Linked DNA regions of Caenorhabditis elegans. The protein of the gene in region 2 purifies or fractionates together with the protein of the main gene of each other region. This does not show direct contact. Each region holds a gene or a part of one and is shown on either strand. Other genes may lie near its edges.

The links.
Region 1: the proteins of ccdc-55 (region 2) and W04C9.6 fractionate together in Caenorhabditis elegans (co-fractionation; one large-scale study listed by BioGRID). This does not show direct contact.
Region 3: the proteins of ccdc-55 (region 2) and Y71G12B.13 fractionate together in Caenorhabditis elegans (co-fractionation; one large-scale study listed by BioGRID). This does not show direct contact.

Annotation. Positions count from the first base shown.
Region 1 is NC_003279.8:485,541-492,602, forward strand, and holds the start of W04C9.6 (MFS domain-containing protein), read right to left. Parts: upstream 2,853-7,062; 5' UTR 2,451-2,852; coding exon 2,418-2,450; intron 2,363-2,417; coding exon 2,254-2,362; intron 2,188-2,253; coding exon 2,047-2,187; intron 1,310-2,046; coding exon 927-1,309; intron 80-926; coding exon 1-79. Other genes in the region: W04C9.2 (MICOS complex subunit MIC13), read left to right, coding at 3,076-3,183, 3,228-3,293, 3,342-3,404, 4,160-4,231; haf-4 (ABC-type antigen peptide transporter), read left to right, coding at 4,511-4,662, 5,657-5,762, 5,810-6,019, 6,070-6,184, 6,296-6,620, 6,685-6,811.
Region 2 is NC_003281.10:4,165,827-4,172,888, forward strand, and holds ccdc-55 (Nuclear speckle splicing regulatory protein 1 homolog), read right to left. Parts: upstream 2,940-7,062; coding exon 2,829-2,939; intron 2,642-2,828; coding exon 2,492-2,641; intron 2,143-2,491; coding exon 1,225-2,142; 3' UTR 1,122-1,224; downstream 1-1,121. Other genes in the region: E3 ubiquitin ligase rnf-5, read right to left, coding at 92-338, 940-1,007; E3 ubiquitin ligase rnf-121, read right to left, coding at 3,263-3,383, 3,443-3,562, 4,072-4,223, 4,282-4,373, 4,424-4,560, 4,604-4,758, 4,811-4,990, 5,063-5,113; C16C10.4 (putative histone deacetylase complex subunit SAP18), read left to right, coding at 5,514-5,695, 5,821-6,001, 6,102-6,239; Argonaute protein hrde-1, read right to left, coding at 6,943-7,062. UniProt on the Caenorhabditis elegans protein: Required for the cessation of distal tip cell migration at the end of larval morphogenesis.
Region 3 is NC_003279.8:1,700,105-1,707,166, reverse strand, and holds the start of Y71G12B.13 (RING-type domain-containing protein), read right to left. Parts: upstream 5,063-7,062; 5' UTR 5,045-5,062; coding exon 5,018-5,044; intron 4,596-5,017; coding exon 4,479-4,595; intron 3,206-4,478; coding exon 2,681-3,205; intron 1,507-2,680; coding exon 1,412-1,506; intron 1,370-1,411; coding exon 1,162-1,369; intron 1-1,161. Other genes in the region: lsm-6 (U6 snRNA-associated Sm-like protein LSm6), read right to left, coding at 5,469-5,589, 5,683-5,795; ubc-3 (UBC core domain-containing protein), read right to left, coding at 6,380-6,489.

The DNA.
Region 1 (7,062 bases), on a different chromosome or scaffold from region 2:
CAAACGATGCGATCCAACAAGCCCACAGGCTTAAACTTGTCAGAATATGACGGAATGGAAGATTTTTTGGCCGGGATACCTGCAAAACGAAAAAGTAACGGGCTTCGAATTTCCCCCCCCATGTTTTCAAATGGAAGAGGTGGCCGTGAATAAAGCTAACCTCGACCGGGGGTCGCGACTCGCGACAAACGGGAAAACTCAAAGAAATTTCGTACTGTCGCTACTTTTTTTGAGTTTTCCTGTTTGTCGCAGGTCGCGACCCCCGGTCGAGGTTCGCTTTTTTCACGGCCACCTCTTCCATTTGAAAACATGGGGGAAATTCGAAGCCCGTGAAAAGTTAGGCCATGCAATGCGATGTGGTGGCCGAGGTTTTGAAAACTCGGTTACTCTCATGTAAAAAATCTTGAAGTTGAAGCAAATTTGCGTACATGAAACCCATTTACCTTGCTAGCAGTTTTAGAAAAATTTGGGATTTTCTCATACTAATGAGGGAACGTCTTAATTGTCGACAAATTGCGTACCCCGAGGAACCCACTAATTCAGTCCTAGGTTTAGGCATAGGCTAAGGCATAGGCTTAGGCGTAGGCCTAGGCTTAGGCTTAGGCTTACACGTGGTGTCAGAGTGCCTCATTTCGGCTTGATCTACGTAGATCTACAAAAAATGCGGGGGAAGAGCCGCAGAGTTTTCTACTGATTTCGCATGGTTAAGAGTGTGCTGACGTCACATTTTTTGGGGCAAAAATTCCCGCATTTTTGGTAGATCAAACCGTAATAGCACAGCCAGGCACCACGTGCGCTTAGGCTTGGGCTTTCCGTAGTCCTTCGGGCGCGTTTTTCTCAAAAATGATACGTGGTACAATTTCAGGTTTTTTTCCGCTCCAAAATCTAGTTATAATTTGTGTCCGGTAGAGCGCGTTTGCACTCACTTTCTTTCCCGATTTCCCTTCTCGAATCCTCTCCAATTCCTTCTCGCCAACCCAACTGTGCTCACTCGGCGAGCACTTGAAAAATAGGAAAAACAGCGAAAAAGTGACCAACGATACACCGGCGTGCACATAGTAAACCGACGTCCATCCACCAGACGAAGAGCATAACCATCCCGAAACTGGCATTGTAAATATATTTGAAAGTTGTGTATTTCCGGTTAATAGGCCAATGAATACTCCGTGCTCGTATGGGGTCGCCCAATTTGCTGTAATTGAGCCAGCGAGGGGAAATGTGGCTGAAAATGCCATTCCTTGACAAATACGGGCGGCCACAAACCATCCGTAGCCAATGGTACTTGCCAACGGGATAAGGGCTGTTGAAACTGGAAAAATTGAGTGCAATACATCATATTTGACGCGCAATTTTAAAATTTAAAAAATGGAAACGCGCTCTAATGATGCTTGGTGTACTCCTCTCGGACAATAAATGTCAATAATTTTTGAAAAATCGATAATTTTTTTTTAATTTCAGAAAAATTCGTGAAATCTGTTTTATTTTGCGCGTAAAATATGATTCTTAAATACTTAATTCAGTATTTTACGCACGTGGTATCAGAGTGTCTCATTTAGGCTTGATCTACGTAGATCTACAAAAAATGCGGGAGAAGAGACGCAGAGTTCTCAACTGATTTCGTATGGTTAAGAACGTGCTGACGTCACATATTTTCGGGCAAATAATTCCCGCATTTTTTGTAGATCAAACCGTGATGGGACAGCCTGACACCACGTGCTTACGCGGAATTTTTCACAATTTTTTGTGCTTCATGCACCATGTTTTTGTTTCGAAAAATCAGATTATTGTTTTGCGCGTCAAATTCAACGCCCACTGTGCAATACACCATATTTGACGATCAATTTCAAAAATTTTGTATGCTTTCGATGCATGCTTTTTGGGGTACTGTAGCTTTGAAAATACGCATGCACTGGATCTGACGACAAAATGCACAGTTTTTATAAAATTAGTCTATAGAAATTAGTCAGTTTTCTCGAAACAAATAAAAACTACAGAAAACTCGGCCACCGATATTTTTTTTTTTCGCGGCCACGATTGACGTCATACCTCCCGAAATAATTCCGGCGACAATGAAGACAGGTTTATGCGGCAAATGTTGAAAAGAAATGGAAAATGGAATCGAGGCGGCAAGACTTCCAATAGCCACACACGATTGAAGAAAATTCGACTCTGATTTGGTATAGTTCACTGAAAAAATCAACTATTTTGGCGGCCGCCAATGGAAAAACTCGGCCACCGAATTAAAAAAAAAACCTTTTGAAGTTGAAGTACTATTATCATCTTGCATACAAATTTTTGTAAAATTATAAGTATTCATATTTGAAAGAATCGAGGTCAAACACAGTGTGGCACATATTAAAATCTGCAAAAAAATCGTGAAAATTCAATTTTCCGGGGGTTTTGAGTTCAAAAAGTACCAGAAATCGGACAGGAACCGGCGAGTTGACCATGGTGCATCAGAAACCGGAATTTTAAATAAGTAAAAAAATTTATGATGCTCGTGGTGATAACGAAAAGTGCAGTGATCAATTTAAGGGAAATACTGCTGGGGGATTAAACGTTGACACTGTCAACTTGATAGTGTTAATTTGATCAATGCTTTGTACTTGTTTTTTGCAGGAAAAATTCTTTGAAAATTGCAAGACTATAGTATAGTCTGAAAATTTGATGAAATCTAAAACTTTAATAAATACCGTTAATTATCATTATTTTTATGAAATTTTAATATAATCTACTTAAAATTTAATTTTCTAGGCATCTGTGAGCTTAAATTTTCGATTATCCCTCGCCAAATTAAAGATTTGCAGACTTTTAAGCTTATAAGCTTATTTCAGTGAGAGAGAGCATTGTGAGAAGAGAAACGCAGACGAGGCTGGCGCGTTTCTCGTGCTCTGACGCGAGTCTCGATTTGCTTGCGCATTTCTCGTGCGCGCGACGTTCATTTTATTTTTCCGATTTTTTTTCAGTTTTTCTGAACTTTTCTTCTTGAATTTGTGATTTTTTATTTATTTTTCACGTCTTGTTGCAAAATAACTGATTTTTCACACAAAATATTCGAATTTTCAGGTCGGCAACATGGGATTCTTGTGGAAAACTGCAAAACTCGGAATTAAAGTTGGACTCGTCGCCGGCGCCGTCAAACTGTCAATCGATAACGATATTTGGTCGACTAACAATGTTAAAGTATTAGTTTTCCCCCGTTTTTCCACGAAAATTTTCATTTTCAGGGCAGCGAACTGTATCAAAAGCTTAAAAAGTACATTCTTCCCGGCACCGTCGTCTTTCCAGAGCAGGTTTTATCGATTTTTTCTCTGAAAATGCAATTTTTTTCTTATTTTCAGCTCCCAACAGTCGAAGATGTGCAGCTGAAGGCCGGTGGAAAGTGGAACAGTGCTGTTGACTCGGTAGGCTGCATTTTTGAGAGGAAACACGGAAAAATTGCTGCGAAAGTTGGAAAAAAGTCCTGGAAAATGGAGATTTGGCGCCGAACGTTCAAGAAATTCCATAATTTCAAAAATCTATCTGAAAAATTGAAAAATATAAATTTTCAGTCATTTTTAGTCAAATTTCAGAGCTAAACGTCGAAAAAAGTGCCTAAAACTAGGAAAAATATGACAAAAAGACACAAATTTTGGAGAAAATTGCTGAAAATAATGCAAAACACTTTTTTTCACAAAAAGCGAAATTCAAAAAAAATTCCACGTCAAAAATTAACCAAATGCAAGTACGCTCCATCGCACTTTTTTCCAATTTCTGACTCGAAAAGTCTTAAACTTCTGGTTTTGTAGGAAAGATAATGCAAAACGCAATTTTTAGTCCAAAATTCAGAGAAAATTCTGAAATTGTTTTTAAAAAAAATGCAAGCACACTCCATGGCACTTTTTTTTCAAAATTTCGCGTAGAAAATTACAGACATTAGCAAAATTCCGACGATTTCGCTGCGAGACCAGAAATATTGTAGGAAATTCAAACATTATCCGAAAATAATGCAAACGCGCTCTATCGCACTTTTCTCCAAGTTCCCACTCAAAAAGCATAGAAAATACCTGAAATTGCCGTTTTTTTTCACCGGAATTTCAAATTTACGCGATTTCGCTGCGAGACCCAAGCTAGTGCAGTGGAGCGCATTTCCAACAATTTCAAACTCAATTTTTTTCAGGTATTCACCACAATCGAGAACGTCCCATCAAGCGTGAACACAGTGGCCAATCGACTCATCAATAATAAATAAATTCCCCATAAAAATTATCGATTTATCGATTTTCCCCCCGAATCCTCGTGTATTCCTTCGTTAGAATGTACTTTTTCCCTCCTCATTTTCTAGAAGTATTTGTGTGTGTGCTCTATGAAAAAATTTGCAATTTTTGACTTTAAACGGACGGTGCATTATATTATTTTATCAGTTCCCATCGTTGATCAATTTTCTCCACTGATTATCAATTCACTGATAAGCTCACACTGCCTGCCCAACTCAATTCATCGCAACTTCTTCTCCCTGCTTTTTTTTGCCATGAATTCGACGGTGGCTTCCCGTTTCTCATGGGGACTCATTCTGGCGTCGATCGATTTTTTGGCGTGCCTACTGTTCGCCTGCCTGCATGATGGAACTTTCAAATTCGCGAATTTTACTTCGCAATTTGGCGATTTTTCGTTTTTTACGAGGTTCGATTGATTGGTGGCCGAGTTAATTTTAGGCCACGAAAAATGAAAATTGAAGCCGAGTGTCATTTTCGCTGGAATTCTAATTTTCAGTGTGTAAAAATATAGAAAACTGCAAAAAATTTTGAATTCCCGCCAAAAACTAACGTTACGAGACCCAAGTACAGTGGAGCGCAGTTGCAAAAAAAAATTTTTAATGATTTTTTGCAACTACGCTCCACAGTCCTTGGGTCTCACAACGTTGAAACTAAAATTTTGGAATTTCTCCCATAACTTCTTATAATAACGATATTCGGTGGTCTCGACACGACATATTTTCATTAAATAAAACGGGTGTGCGCCTTTAAAGAGTACTGCAGTTTCAAACTTTAGTTGCTAAGCGTATTTTCAACAAAGCAACGAAAATTTGAACTTACAGTACTCTTTAAAGGCGCACGCCCGTTTTTATTAAAACAAAAACTTGTCGTGTCGAGACCGGGCACCGTAGTTTTGACGCTAAAAATAAGATTTATGAAAAAGCGGGTTTCCAGAAAATTTCACTTTTCAAACTTTGATGAAAATTTGAAGTTTCCAGCCAAAATCGCTGCGAGACAGTGGAACGAGTGCAGTAGAGCGAAATTGCTGTAAAATTTTGAAAAAAAAGTGAGAAATTTAAAAACACGGATTTCTGGCCTCCCCCGTAAATTGAAATGGAAGAGTTTGCCGAACTAGGCCACTTTGGCTCGCCCATATCTGGGGTAGATTTACGGCGCGTTGCGTGTCGCGACGCGATTTTAGTTGGAAAACTAAATGTTTTTGCCCGTGTGGAGTACACGACTTTCCCACGTGTTGTCCTCTAGGTGATTGTCAATGGAGCGCAAAAAATCCAATGAGGAAGGCCAGAACCCCGTGAAAAAGTACGCGTTTTTGAAGCAATTCATCGAAAGAAGACAGTAAAAAAAAAGTCAAAAATTCAAATTTCCAATAGAAAAACCACCAAACCCAACAATTTTTCCAGCACAATCGACCTATTCTTGCTGCAATTTTTCCGTTTTGCACTATGGATGGTGCCGGCGGCAATCCACGTGGCCAACAAGGCGGACACGTTGACAATGTGGAAAGAGGTCGGTGGCCGCGTGGCCTAGAAATCCCGAAAATTTCAAATTTTCAGCCAATTTTCTGCTCGGCACTGCTCATCTGCGCGGCGAGCCCCACAAAATTGCTCCTCCTCACAGAAAAGCTGAAGCCCGATGAGTTCCTCACTTTCGGCGACACTGCCTTCCTTGTCTGGAATTTCATTTCCGCGATCATTTTGAACTCCTCGTGGACAAGATACTTCTCGCGAACTCCGTCTTCATATATAATTCTGGAGGATGAGGATGTAAGTGCGCTCCGCTGAGAAAATGTTTTGATCACCCCCACGATTTTCAGCTCGAGGTGGCTCCAAAACAAACGTTTGAGCTTATTTTCCGCCTGCTCCAATACTGCAAACGTGAATGGCTCTGGCATATTTCCGGATTCTCGTGGCTCTTTATTTATTCGATCAGTAAGAGAATATCCATCGGGGGTTTTTTGTTTCGAATTTAAAAAAAAACACAAGTGGAAGAGTTTTTAAGATTTCTAGGCCACGCACCCACTCCAAAACCCCAATTTTCAGCCCGTATCTTCGTTCCCTATTACACGGGACAAGTCATCGCTACCGTGGTCGCCACAAAATCGTACCCAGCCCTCTCCAACGCTGTCTACATCATGACAATCATCTCGTTGGTGAGCGCTGTCGCCGCCGGATTCCGTGGAGGATCCTTCGAGTACGCCTACGCAAGGATCCAGAGGGCAATCCGCTACGATTTGTTCCACGGACTCGTGAAACAGGATGTCGCTTTCTATGATGCTCACAAGACCGGAGAGGTGACTTCTCGTCTGGCTGCTGATTGTCAGACTATGTCGGATACAGTTGCGTTGAATGTTAACGTTTTCCTCAGGTAGGTGTGGGTCCGTGACCGAAGTTCCCAGATCACATGACCTAATTTTCCCAAATTCTTCCAGAAACTGCGTTATGCTCCTTGGATCGATGATCTTCATGATGAAGCTTTCGTGGCGCCTCTCCCTCGTCACATTCATCCTCGTCCCAATTATCTTCGTCGCCTCCAAAATCTTCGGAACATATTATGATGTAAGTGCGCTCCAGCGAAAACGTTTTTCTAAAGTTTTGACCCCAAAATTCTGTCAAAGTGCCCCATTTTGGTTTGATCTTCGGAAAATGCGGGAGAAGAGGCGCAGGCTTTGCAACTGATATCACATGGTTAAGATTGTGCTGACGGCACATGGAAAAATTCCCACATTTTTTTGTAGATCAAACCGCACCTGACACCACGTGAAATTTTTGACAAGTCAAGAAAAATTTCGGCAATTGTGAAATAATCG
Region 2 (7,062 bases):
TGATGATGATGATGAGAAAATTGAAAAAAATAGCATAATGTCTTTTTTTAAGTAGTTCAGAAGTGTTAATCAGTGCATGAGTAGTGCATACCGGTGGTGGTTCACTTCGTTGTCCTTTTGGACGTGGTGGAACTTTTTTACGTGGATCCGATGAATCGCCACCTCTTCCATAGATCGGTACAACTTTATTCCCATCAATTGCACTTTTACACACTGGACAAACTTGATTATTTGGACGAGTATCAAGCCATTGACTCAGACATGGCCAACAAAAAAGATGTCCACATAGGGAAACGACTGCATCTTTTGCTGCGTCCAAACAAATATTACATTCAAATCTGCAAAATTACGATTATTAAATTTTGGAAATTCTGGAAACTTGTATTTTTAGAAACGGTGAAAATACGAAAAATTTGAAAAGAGTCAGTTTTTAAAATTCTTCGATTTTTTTGTCAATTTTTCGGGAAAATTATTAGTTTTGATAACTTTTTTTTGAAGACATACTGCTTGTAAATTCAAAACTTAGGCCATTTTCGTTTTTCCTACTTTTTTTGAAATTTTTGAAAATAACTGTAATATTTTCTGTCGGATTTTTTTTCTCGTATTTCGGTTTCTTGTTGATTTTCCGGAAAACTCCTTTTTTAAAAATAATTTTCGGTTATCTTTGAATCTGTTCTCATTAAAATCAAAACATTTCTGGTTAATTCGTAGTTTTTCGGATGTTTTAAAGTGTCGTAAAAGTATTTAGATAAACTGCCGTTTTTTGAAAATTTACAGCAAAAATAGAGAAATTATTCGGAAAAATAATTAAAAAAAAAAAACAGAAAATATGTAATTTTAGATTTCTCAAAAAAAATTAATCAATAAAAATTCGTTTTTTTAATTTCCGGTCATTTGTTATGTCTAACGATTAAAACATCGATTTTTTTCTAAATTTACCTCGCAGATTCATCTTTATTACTGGAGCTCGTGGGCTCCTCGGATGGAGCTTTCGTCTCCGACGCCATTGGCTCCGAACTCTGAAATTCCTTATTTAATTCTCTCTGAAATCACGTATTAAAATATATAAAAATGGTAGAGATAACCATAGAAGTTTTTAAAAAATGAACATTGGAAATTGAAATTGGATATTTCATTAGGTCTGGAATTGGAAAATTGGGAGATTGGAATTTTAACCAGCAATTGAAAAAAACAAACAAAGAAAAAATAAATAAAAATTAAATTTTACAATGGAGGTACAACAATTCCTTGCTCCTTTCTCTCGAAATATCTTTGCCTCGCTGCCTCAATATCTTCTTCTGTATTCCGCTGCTTCAGAATTTCTTTGAGTCCGTCTAATCTTGCTTCTTTATCGATTTTCTTCGGCTTCAGCTTATCTTTAAGCGAGATTTTCGGCGCTTTTTCAGATTTTTCAGATTTCCCTTCAGGCGATCTTCTACTCCCTGATTCTCTCGATTCTATGGACTTCCTTGAAGTTGGTGACGGGCTTGAAGTCCTTCTCCGAGCTCGTGGAGCTCTTGCACCTTCATCATCTGAAGATGGAGGTGTTGGAGTGTAGTTTCGCTGACGGATTCTCTCTGCGTGAGTCGTTGCTTTTTTTTTTGATACCGTATTCAGGCCAGGTTTAAGATCTCCTTCGAAATTTTTTTGTGGAGGTTTTGGTGCTTTTTCCTCGTCAGAATCATCGGAATAAATTGATTTTTTAAGCTTTTCGGCTGGTTTCTTATCCGATTTTTCCGGTTTCGGATCAATTTCTTCATCAGAATCTTCCCGTTTTCTCACATTTTTCTGCTCTTTCTTCCTCTGTTTAATAGCTGTAGGATCTCTTGCCAAATCGTTTAAAAGCGTCCTTCCCATACCAATTTCCCATAATTTCTGTTTCTGAACACTTGTCATATCATTAAAAGCAGCTTCTTCAGCTTCTTGTTCCCGATGTTTCTTCACTTCTTCCTGTTGCTTACGGTATGCTCCAGTTACAAAAACTTCTTTATCATCAAATTCATCGCCTTCTTTCTCTCGTTCTCTGAGTTGTTGGCGTTCTTCACGAGAAAATTGTTCGAGTTGGCGACGAGCATGGGCTTTAATGATGTTCTCCGCGTATTTCGATTCACGATTTTTGTCCGCTTTTCGAGCTTCTTCTTTCTGCAAAAACAAAGCTGTTAGTTGAATTTTTCAGCCTAAAAATACTGAAACTTCTGAAACAAACCATTTTTGGTTAAAGATGTGTTTTTTTTTCTTTTTTAACGAAAAATTTTCGATTCTCTAAAAACCCGAAAAATCGAAAATGTTCGTTTATTCTTGTCCATTTTTTAGATTTAAAAAAATATCAAAATTGTTAGTGGAAACTTATTATATAAATTGTTTTATTTGTTGAAAATTTTTTTTTCATATTTTCTTATCGAAAATTCTTTGTTAATGGTTTTAAAATCTACACTTTTTCGTTTTATTTTTAGTATTTTTTTTTTCGATTTTCAACTTTTCGAGCCCTCACTTTTTCATTCTTAATCGCCTGAATTTCATCGTAATTCCCGTCATAATCGAAAATCGTCGGATCCTCGGCTTCTGCCTTTTGATGTTCTCGTTCTGCTGCTTTTTGCACACGAATAACTGAAGCTGATGCCATATTGGTAGCTGTGGCTGGCTGAAAAGTAAGAAATTTATAATTCAGAAATTTATAAAAGCTTTTCTAAATCGAAAAATAGTCAAAAACTAAAAATGTTTAAAATTGCTAGTAGGAAAAAATTATTTTTGATAATTTTCGGTCATTTCTTTGTTGTTTGAAAACTTTTTCTCCTACACTAAATTTTTCAAACTTCTCTGAATTTTACCACATTATCATCATCATCATCGTCTCCAAAAACACTGGAAACTCGAATTGGAGCAGCTTTCGGTTCATCTTTTTTCCGAATATTTAATCCTACATGCCGTTTTGATGCCATCTAAAAACTTTTTTATTTTATTTTTCCAATTAAAAGAATCCAAAGGATACAGTTTCAGATATAAAACACCGCTGTGAACGGGAATTGGAAATAAAAATTAAACAGGAAGAATAAATAAAGTCGTAATTTTTTTTTCAAAGAAATCAGAAAAATCACCCGGTGCCCGGCAAAAAAGAAGTAACGAGAAAAAATGAAAAAACGAGAATAAAAATGCAATTGGAATGACAATTTTTGTGTGTATTTGTGACTATTTGATAACTTTGGGATGCAGTTAGAAATTATTAAATAAAAATAAATAAGTAAAAATTAAAATAAAAAGATTCCTATTCCAATCCCATCCATGTGGTGAGTCCTTGAACAGCTGTTACAATCAATGGCTGCCAGCAGACGAGATAACGGATCCAGTCAAGCAATTTTCCATAGAATAAATGAGGTTTCTCCCATCTGAAATTGAAAATTTTTAAAGAATTTATAATTAAATTTGATTTTTTCAAAAAACTAACGGATTTTTAAACATTCTCTGTAAATCGACACGTTCTTTGCAATACGGGCATGTTTGAAGTTTTCCAACAACTACCCATCCTCTGATACAGAATTCGTGAAAAACGTGGCCACATGAGAGTCTGAAATTATTGATTTTAAGTTTAACAAGAGCTTTCTAGCCTCATGTGTCGATTTACTTTGTTAAATGCAAAAGGGTGCGCGCCTTTAAAGAGTACTGTAAATTTTAAATTTCTGGTGCACCGGATTTTCGTCAATTTTTCAACAAAAAAATGTTAATCAAATTTTATTTATTGAGGCACCACGGATTCAAGATCTGGTGGAATTCCGGATCTACGTTTTCCGGACCTGGCACCGTGCCAACGCAAAAAAAAATTTCTCGGAGGTCTTGATTTTATTTTTCTGTGTAACTTTTATTCGTATATTTGAATTTTTAATTATCAAATAAAAAATTTCACGAAAAACTGTGGAAAAATCGATGAAAATTCGTTCAAAAGCTTCATAATATCAGTTTTTAAAAATTTGGTGCTTTCTGGTGATTCTCGAAGAAAACTGGAAAACTACTTATTAATTCTTTTTTTTAATTAAAAAAAGTGAAAATTCCAAAAATCTGCTGAACTTCTCCACTCACTTATACAATTTTTCATCTTCATCTTCAACCATTTTCGTTGTAACCACAGCATCTGCATCATGAACATGTTCCGAATCATCAAGACGTCCTCCACAAACAGCACAGACACCGTCTTCTAGATGCTTTTTAGGAAGTCCTTCAGGAGTGTAATACTGAAAAATTGGAATTATATTGATTATTTTTCGGCAGCAGGTGAAAAATGTATTTTACCCCGATTCTCGACGCCATTCTCGCCGTGCAAATGTGAGCAAAATCCCGGCCGAGCACTCCGTAATACACACCATAGAACATGAAAAGGATGCCTGGAAGCTTGAAAATTAGATTTTTTCAAAATTTTTCCAAAATTTCTCACCGGCATCCATTAGTGTTGGCTGTGAAACTCCGAATAAAACATGAAATCCTAATAAAGCTCCCATCATGATCAAATATCCAACAACTCCGAGTACATAACTCAGTTTATGCAAAAATAGAAACCATTTGTAGACGAATCTTAAATTATTTCGTTTAATTCGTCTTTTTTATTCTTAAAAACCTTGGTGTTCCTCCACTGATATGTTGAGCCGAGGCTTTCAACCAAATAAAAGCTGAAAAAATGCAGAAAACAAGCCACGTGGCCAGGAATCGATACCAGGATCGGTTGAAACAAACATAAACTGGAATTGTGAGCATTCCTATTAATGTACACATCTGTAAATGTTTGAATATTAAATAAATGTTTAAAATTAATAAAATTAAATACCTGATAAGATTTAAAATGCTTCCTCTTCCAGGTGACCAGAAAAATCTGTCCAACGATGACAGAAATCATGAAAATAACCATCATTTCCATGTGCATCGCTTCGTGTCCTTTATGCTTTTCGTGCATTTTTCGGTGCTCCTCTGCCCATTGTTCTTCTTCTGTTAGCTCGTGTGGAGGGGGCTGAAAATAAAAATTTATAATAGAAATCATTTTACTTTTAATTAAACTATTTTAAAATCAATAAATACTTACCATTCCTTCCTGAACTTCATTCTGCAGCCTAATTGCCCCATGTTGGCCCATTCTATGGCCTGAAAAAATAGAAATTATTTTGGAAAACGTTATTGATTTTTCGAGAAGGTAAAGCGGACTCCCGCGTGGAAAGTGACCAATTTTAAAAATTGAACGAAAAAAACACTTTAAATTCAATAATTGATAAAAATAGTTGAGTTGGTTAACTTTGCGACAAGGAAATGTCGGAGAAAGATTTGCGGTGAAAATCGAAATAAAATAGGAGAATGTCATCTGCGCGCGGCATATCTGCAAATCTTGTGTGCCAGGGTTGCAAAGAACGCTCCGCCCACAAACATTCGAATGCAAATTTTGGCGTTTTGCTTCTTTTTTCTCTTTTTTCTGTATAACCAAACAAATATATTTTATATTATCCCTTTTTAGAGCAAATTTATCTTTTTTTTTCAGAAAAATGAGCAACGGTCAACTCGTGTCTCAGGTGACAGTTGGTCACGATAAACCATTAGATCGTGAGAAAGTATGTCCGATGCTTCTTCGCGTCTTCGTTGCTAATAATCGTCATAATCCGATGAGCGAGTACAATAGTAGAAATGGAGGATCTGTTCCACCCAGCGAACTTCAAATGCATACTTGGTACGCGGTAGAAATAGAAAAATTAGTACTATTTGGCCGAAATTATAGAACTTTTGTCTAATATTTTCAATAATACATTCAAACTTGTAAGTTTGGTTAACCTGAAGTATTTTTTTTATTTTCAGGATGGACTGTTCTCTGCGTGAATTGACCAGTCTAATCAAAGAAGTGAATCCGGACGCTAGAAGAAAGGGCACCACATTCGATTTCGCTATTGTGCAGGCAGACCGCGGCTCGCCAAGATACATTCTACGCGATGTGGGAAACACGACGAATGGAGAGCGTGGCATTGATGACAACAAAACTGTATGTGATTTTTGACACCACGGAACCATTAGAATTTTATTTGAATTCGGAAATAATATCTCCAATATTAAATTCGTTTTGATTGAACTTTGTTTTTCAGCTACAACAATGCAAATTCGAAGTCGGTGATTTCGTCGACGTCGCGATTTCCTTGCCAAGTCAAGGACGTCGTTTCAATAACCGGGAGCAGGGAGACCGTTTCGATCATCGTCAACGCCAACGTAGTCCGATTCGCTAGACGCCTAACTGTGTGTTAAAATTCAATGATACTCTTCTGTATTTATTAATGTGTCGATTCTTTTTTTTATAACGTGCAATGTAATATTCTGCGTAAATCATGTTTTCCTTTACAATTGTTCAACATACTTAACAATTTACAACAAAGTTTACTTTCACATTTACTGGTCAAAATTGCAAGCTATTTAATTTTAAAAAAGTTTTGTTTTGTGATTATGCAAAAATCGGAAAAATGATCGCGATCAAACTGCTTTCAGCGAAAACTAAAATTTCTTCTCGAATAATTTATTGCTTAATAAATGATAATGGACGGGGGGTAGAGCAAGTAAGATTATTGAAAATCGAAATTTCCAAAAACGTTCTAATTGGAAGTTTCTTTCGCCTTCGAAAACTCCTAATAAGAAAGTTGGAGGAAATTCGCACAGAAAAAAAGGCAGGTAAAACAGGAGTATCTACTATTCAAACTATGTGTCAATGTACTCTACTCTAGATTAAATTACAAAAGGATTCTTAGTTGAAATTATAAAAACATAAAGGGGAATACGATACAATTATGGGGAAAAATGTAATAAAGAATGTTCAGAAAAACAAAAGCATGGGAATTTAAGTACTTGTATAGAGAGTAGGTATAGGGTAGTGGATAAAAAATGTTGGTAATATGTAAAGGGGGTGAATACGTGACAATAAAAGAGAGAATCTCGGGATTACGCCCAGAAGTTTCGCTTCGGAATGGTCATTCCGTTCATTGCAACGGACATCTCATCAACAATGGCTGCCGCCAGTTCTTCTCGCATGTCTTCGTTGATGAGTTCCGAATGGTCTTT
Region 3 (7,062 bases), on a different chromosome or scaffold from region 2:
AATTCGACTTTTTTTGACTAAAAGATCGGAAAAATTCAAATATTTTGTAGGAAAATTGGCAATTTTGTAAAAAAAATCGAAAACTGCGTAATTTTAGGAAAAATCGGCATTTTTTGTATTTTTCAGCGAATTTCGAGAAAAATGTCTGAAAACAGAAACCCATAAATTTCGGAAATTAAATTTAAAATTTGATTTTTTTGAAATTGCTTTAAAGCATGCTTATGATACCACAATAACCGAATATATCATAATAAAAAAATTCAAAAAAAATTTTTTTTTCTAAATTTTATATGATTTTTGAAAATTGAAAAAATCTCAGTTTTCCCCCTAATTCCTATTTGAATTTCCGCCAATTGAACTCGTTCGTTGGAGCGCGCTTGCATTGTTTTCATTAATTTTTTAAAATTTATTTTCATTATTTCACTGATTTTCTTCATTTTTTGGGTGTTTTTAATCGGAAAATGAAAGAAACATACAGGAAAAATGCAAAATGTTTATTAAAAAGTAACTGAAAATGCCTAAAACTGTGAATAATACTTATTTCAGGCTCGTCATCGTCGGATCGTATAATTTCAGAGTTTTAGGCATTTTCAGTTACTTTTTAATAAACATTTTGCATTTTTCCCGTATGTTTCTTTCATTTTCCGATTAAAAACGCCCAAAAAATGAAGAAAATCAGTGAAATAATGAAAATAAATTTTTAAAAAATTAATGAAAATAATGCAAGCACACTCCATCGAACAAATTCAATTAGCGGAAATTCGAATCGGAATTAGGGGGAAAACTGTGATTTTTTCAATTTTCAAATATCATAAAAAATTTAGAAAATTTTTTTGCATTTGTTTTACCATGCTATTCGGTCATTATGACCCCATAGGCGCGTTTTAAAGCAATTTTTTCGAGAAAAAAAATTATTTTTTCATGTAGATTCTGCGAATTTTTGAATTTTGGCTAATTTGTGTAAAGTTTTGCAAAATCGTCGCAGGAAAATCAAATTTTTGGGTTTTTATCGAATTTTTTTGTTTTTTTATGCCAAATTTTTTAAAATTTTGCAAAATCTTCGCAGGATAATCAAATTTCTAGGTTTTTCTTCGTTTTTTCGGCCAAATTTTTCAAAAATTTCCATGATTTTCGTCATTTTTCCTCTTCTTCAATCCGTACCATAACATTGCCAACTTTCTCTCCGACAGCTTTCTTAATTTGTTGCAAATCAATTCCAACACTTTTCAGCAACTCATCCGCATTTCCACTTCTCGCCACCATTTTCTCTTCTACAGTGAAATTAATCATTCGACGTCGGGCAGTTTTCCAATCTTCACGAGTTATTGATTGTAGACAATTTTCAATGTCTTCTATCCGATAGGGAAGTCTAAAATTATCGATTTTTTGCCATTTGTTGAGCATTTCCAACCGTAAAGCCGCTCTTGAACGCTTATAGGTCATCGGAGTACGCTGGAAGTAGTGAGCATCGAAAAACTCCTGCATACGACGGAATAATTCGGATTCCTGAAAAAAAAAATCGATTTTTGGGAGATGTTAATGAAAATTTTTGCGTTTTTTTCGCAGTATTGAGCAAAAATTCGAAGGATTTCACCCAGAAAACCCAGAAAATCGCGATTTTTTTTTCTTCCAATTTTTTGATTATCGAAATTTCCGTTTAAAAATTCGAGAAAATTCGAATTATCGATTAAAAATCCAGGAAAAGTGTAATTTTCACTAAAAATTCGGGAAAATTCAAATTTCCAGTAAAAAAATCGGGAAAATTCAAATTTTCGCTCAAAAATACGGGAAACTTTGAAGAAATTCAAATTTTCATTCCAAAATTCGGCAAAACTGAAATTTTCACTAAAAAATTCGGGAAATTTCAAATTTTTGCTAAAAAAACTCGGAAAAACTCAAATTTTCACTAAAAAATTCGGGAAAATTCAAATTTTCTTTAAAAAGTTCGGGAAAAGTCAAATTTTTGCTAAAAAATCGGGAAAACGCAGATTTCCGTTGAAAACTTCGAGAAAATTCGAATTTTCAACTAAAAATCCAGGAAAATTCAAATTTTCACTAAAAAATTCGGGAAAATTCAGTCTTTTGGTAAACATTTCGAGAAAATTCAAATTTCCGTTGAAAACTTCGAGAAAATTCAAATTTCCGCTTAAAAATTCGAAAAAAACTCAACTTTTCGCTTAAAAACTCGGGTAAATTCAAATTTTCGTTAAAAAGTTCGGGAAAATTCAGATTTCCGTTGAAAACTTCGAGAAAATTCAAATTATCGATGAAAAATCCAGGAAAATTCAAGTTTTCACTAAAAAATTCGGGAAAATTCAAATTATCGATTAAAAATTTCGGAAAATTTAAATTTTCGCTTAAAAATCGGAAAAATTCAATTTTTCGCTTAAAAATTCGGGAAAATTCAGATTTCCTTTTAAAAATTCGAGAAAAATCAAATTTAGATTTAAAAATTCGGGAAAATTCAAATTTTCGTTAAAAAGTTCGGGAAAATTCAAATTTCCGTTTAAAACTTTGGGAAAGTTTAAATTTCAACTAAAAAGTCGGGAAAATTCAAATTTTCGCTAAAAAATTCGGAAATAATCAAATTTCCGTTTAAAAATCCAGGAAAATTCAAATTTCCGCTTAAAAATTCGGGAAAACTCAAATTTTTTTCAGCTCAAAAGTTCCAAATTTTCACCTCCATATTTATAATAGTATTCGACGCTTTCGAGTCGGCCGCAACTTTTTCTATCAACGAAGCCCACGATTTTCCAGAATCATTAAGCCGTCGCTTAATAGTCCTACACGGCCTGACGGCCTCTTCTTCTTCAATTTCCACATCATCAATACTCTGATTTTCAAGCTCAGCTTCTGCCGAGCAAGACGTTGAAGGGGTATTTGTATTATTAACAGTTTCGGAATGAAGACTTTCAGCTTTTAGCCTATTCTGACCACTGGATTTCTCAGAAATCGTAGTCGTCGTCGTCGTCGTCCCGTCCAACGAGTTTCTGGCGGCTCGATTTTCAGAATTTTCAGAATTTCCAGCCACTGATGAGCAACGGGAGACCGGTCGAGAGTTGGCGAACGTCAGGGGATACAGATATTGATATTTCTCGGGAAGCTTCTCAATGCGTGGCAGGGGAATGCATTTTTGACGCTTTTGGAAGGCAGTTTGGACGACATGATAGACGTGTGGAGGCATATCCATTGGGAATTGACATTTCTGCAAATAAAAAATAAATAAAAAATGATTAAAATCGGCAGTTTTAGTTTTTAAAAAAGTCGTAATTATGCACGCTCTCCTCAAAGCCGAATAATTATTAGAGCGCGCTTGCTGCGCTTCGCATTTCTGAATCCGCGGTATTTTGACTTTCCACTGAAAAAGCAGATATTTCAGATTTATCGAATTTTCTAGCTTTAAAAAAAATTTTTCTCCAGTTTTCGAACAAACCTTTTGTTAAACAGTGAAAATCGAATTTAAAATGACTAAAATGAACTTTTTTCGTCCACTGGCTGTGAAATGGTTTGAATTTGAAAAAATTAACGGGATTTTTCTTATTTTCTAAATATTTTTCTATTAAAATCGGTTTTAAAACATTTGTGACTTTTAGGGTCAAAAAAATGGGTTAAAACCGATTTTTAATAGAAAAATATTTAGAAAATAAGAAAAATCCCATTGATTTCTTCAAATTCAAACCATTTCACAACCAGTGGACGAAAAATTTCATTTTAGTCATTTTTCGATTTTCACTGTTTAACAAAAGGTTTGTTCGAAAGATGCATTTAAAAAATTTTAAAAGCTAAAAATTCGATAAATCTGAAATATCTGCTTTTTTCAGTGGAAAGTCAAATTACCGCGGATGCAGAAATGCGAAGCGCAGCAAGCGCGCTCTAATAATTCTCCGGCTTTGAGGAGAGCGTGATTATGAAATATTACTGAAAATTAATGTTTTTTAAAATCAATTTCCGGTGAACTTCCGATGATTTCGACGATTTTTCCGCCTCAAAATTACTCGATTTTCACAAAATTAACTAAAAATTGTCCGTTTTGTTGAATTTCAAGTTCAAAATTTGAAAATTCTGAGGAGACATTGCTTTAAAACATACCTATGGTACCACAATGACCAAATATCATAGTAAAATTTTTTTTAATGTTCTAAATTAAAAAAAAAATTTACTATGATATTTGGTCATTGTGGTACCATAGGCATGTTTTAAAGCAATTTCCCCACAGAATTTTCAAGTTTTGAACTTGAAATTCAATAAAACCGGAATTTTTTAGTTAATTTTGTGAAAATCCAGTGATTGAGGGGAGAAATCGTCGAAAACATCGGAAATTCACCGAAAATTGATATAAAAAACAATAATTTTCAGTTAAATTGCTATGAAAAGCTGATTTTCTCCGTTCATACGAGCCAAAACAACCTGAAATTCGATTTTTAGCTCGATTTTTGCCTGGTTTCCCAATATAAATTCAGTTTTTCATGAATTTCTACCTGAACAGCCTCACATATCCACCAAATATTATCGGATCCATTGGGTTCGGTGCTGATGAGCTCTGGCTTGAGCTGTTTCGTCTTACATCGCGGACACTTGAGCCATTCGCTTTTCATCTGAAATTAAATGAGTTTTTTGATGGAAAATTCGAAATTTTAAGGCTAGAAACGAGCACAAAATGAGCACACAAACGCTCAAACTTTGAAACTAACTGTTTTTTTTTCAATTTTCGGAAAATCGATGGGGGGACAGAAGACTGATGGATTTCGTGCGACGTCTCTCTCTCTCTTGCTCTTCTTTATCTTCTTTTGGTCTTTTCACTATGAAATTAGGTATAGTTTTTGAATGGTATCATTTGAAATGTGCGATCACATATCGGGCGGCAGAAAACCGCCTAATTCTCCTTTTCCAGTGCGGGTGGAAAGATCATCGCAAGGCGGTTTAGCCTTAGTGTGATCGCATATCATTACAAATTATCACTTACCACTCGGAGAGCAAAAGTTAATCAGTTTTTAAATCAAAAAAAAAATCAACTTACTAAGGCGGGAAGTGGTCCGGGTGGCATTATCCTTTTGAAAATTGTCTGAAAATTGCGATTGTTGCAGTGAAAGTGGCACAAAAATACGTAGAATTCGAAATTTGAGTTGAAAAATCGAAAAAATCACCGGAAAAGCTCGAAAAATCGATGAAAACGCGATAAATTGACTTAAAAATGTCTTCTTTTTTTCGAAAATGCTTCCCCGTAAATCGAATCGTGGTGAGACCCACCGCACGTGACGCATGACCGCGACGCGTCTAACGGTGAGGAAACCCAAGAAATTTCTCGATTTTTGCTGAAAAAGCCTGTTTTCGAGCGAAATAACTCAGATTTTCGGCGAAAAAAAAAACACAAATTTATTCGAGATCCAAACGTATCAAACAAGAAATTTGCTCAAAATAGCTCAAAAAAGGGAAAAATATTTGGAAAATAAATCGAAATCAAAAAAAAGTTATTTCGTCGATGTGGAGATGTAGAGCACATTGTTCCCGCGGATGAACGCATCGCCGTACTTGTTCTGAAGTTGTCCGTTGCTGTATTCTTCGGTTTGTTCGAGCGCGATGTTCATATATCTGAAAAATTAGATTTTTTCGTAATTTTTCTGGAAGAAAAATTAATTTTCAGGTGTTTTTAATCAGATTTTTTGATTTTTCCCAATCACTAACCCGTCGAGACATGCGAGAATGCCACGGTAGTCGACGCCAGAGTTGAGCTTCACCACAACCGGCTTTCCGATGACTTTCTTCAGGAATTCGGCGGGATTCTGTCGTTTGCTCATTTTCTAGAGTGCTGAAATTGAGAAAAAATATTACTTTCACGGGTTTTTAGAGTAAAAATATGTTAAAATCAAGAGAAAAATGCGTTAAAATTGCGATTTTGCTTCAAAAAAAATTATTTTCTACAGTGTCCGCAAACACCGTGACGCAAAAATGCAGACTTGCGAAAAAAATGTTTTTTTCGGATTAAATCGACTTATTTTTTGAGAATTCAACTCTAAATCTGCAATTTTCCGAGACAATTTAGAAAAAAGAAGGCTTCATTTATAGAAAACAAAAATAGTTGAAAGTGCACTGTGATCAGCCTGTGTGTGTGTGTAATTGGACAAAAAAAACTGTTTCCAGACGAAAAAATATTGAGTATAACACAAATATGAATTGATAGCTGCTTGGGAAGGGCAAAAGTGTACATATAAATGCATTGAGAAAAGGACTAGTTGAGTCGGATTTTGAAGATTTTTTGTTTGAAAGAAGCGCCAAGATTTCGTGGTATATTTGATATGAATTTGAATTTTTCTAGGTTGGAAAATTGAGAAAATTGAGAAAAAAAATGGGGAAAAAATTATAGAAAATTAAAAAAAATTGACTAATTTTCTCCTTGTCCCGAATCCTCGTCATCATCATTATAGTCCGAGCCGCATTCGTCCTCGTCCTCCTCCTCTTCATCGTCGTCATAGTCACACCCGAAATCGTCGTCTGAAAAAAATCGATATTTAATTGAAAATTTGGCAAAAATCCGGGTTTTTAACTGAAAAATCCAATTTTCTCGGGAATTTTACAACTAAATTTGCGAAAAATAGACTTTTTTTTGAGGTTTTTGAGGTCACGGGGTTCTGACCTTCCTCATTGAATTTTTCGCGCTCCATTGACAATCGCCCGCCGGAAAACGTGTGGGAAAGTCGTGTACTCCACACGGACAAATACATTTAGTTTTACAACTAAAATCGAGCCGCGGCGCGACACGCAACGCGCCGTAAATCTACCCCAGATATGGTGGCCTGGACTAGTTCGGCAAAAACTCTTCCATTTCAATTTATAAGGGAAGCCAGAAATCCGTGAATTCGTGCGATTTCTGGCAATTTACCTGAAAAATCGGCAATTTTTTTTGAAAAAAGTGTATAATTTTGCGGATATTTCGACTAAAAACTGACAATTTTTGAATTTTACCAAAAATAGCCAGTTTTAGTGCAAAAAACGCAAAATATAAGACATTTTTAGCGTAGAAGATGAAATTTTTAGTCTTAATTCACTTTAGACATCAAAAATGTC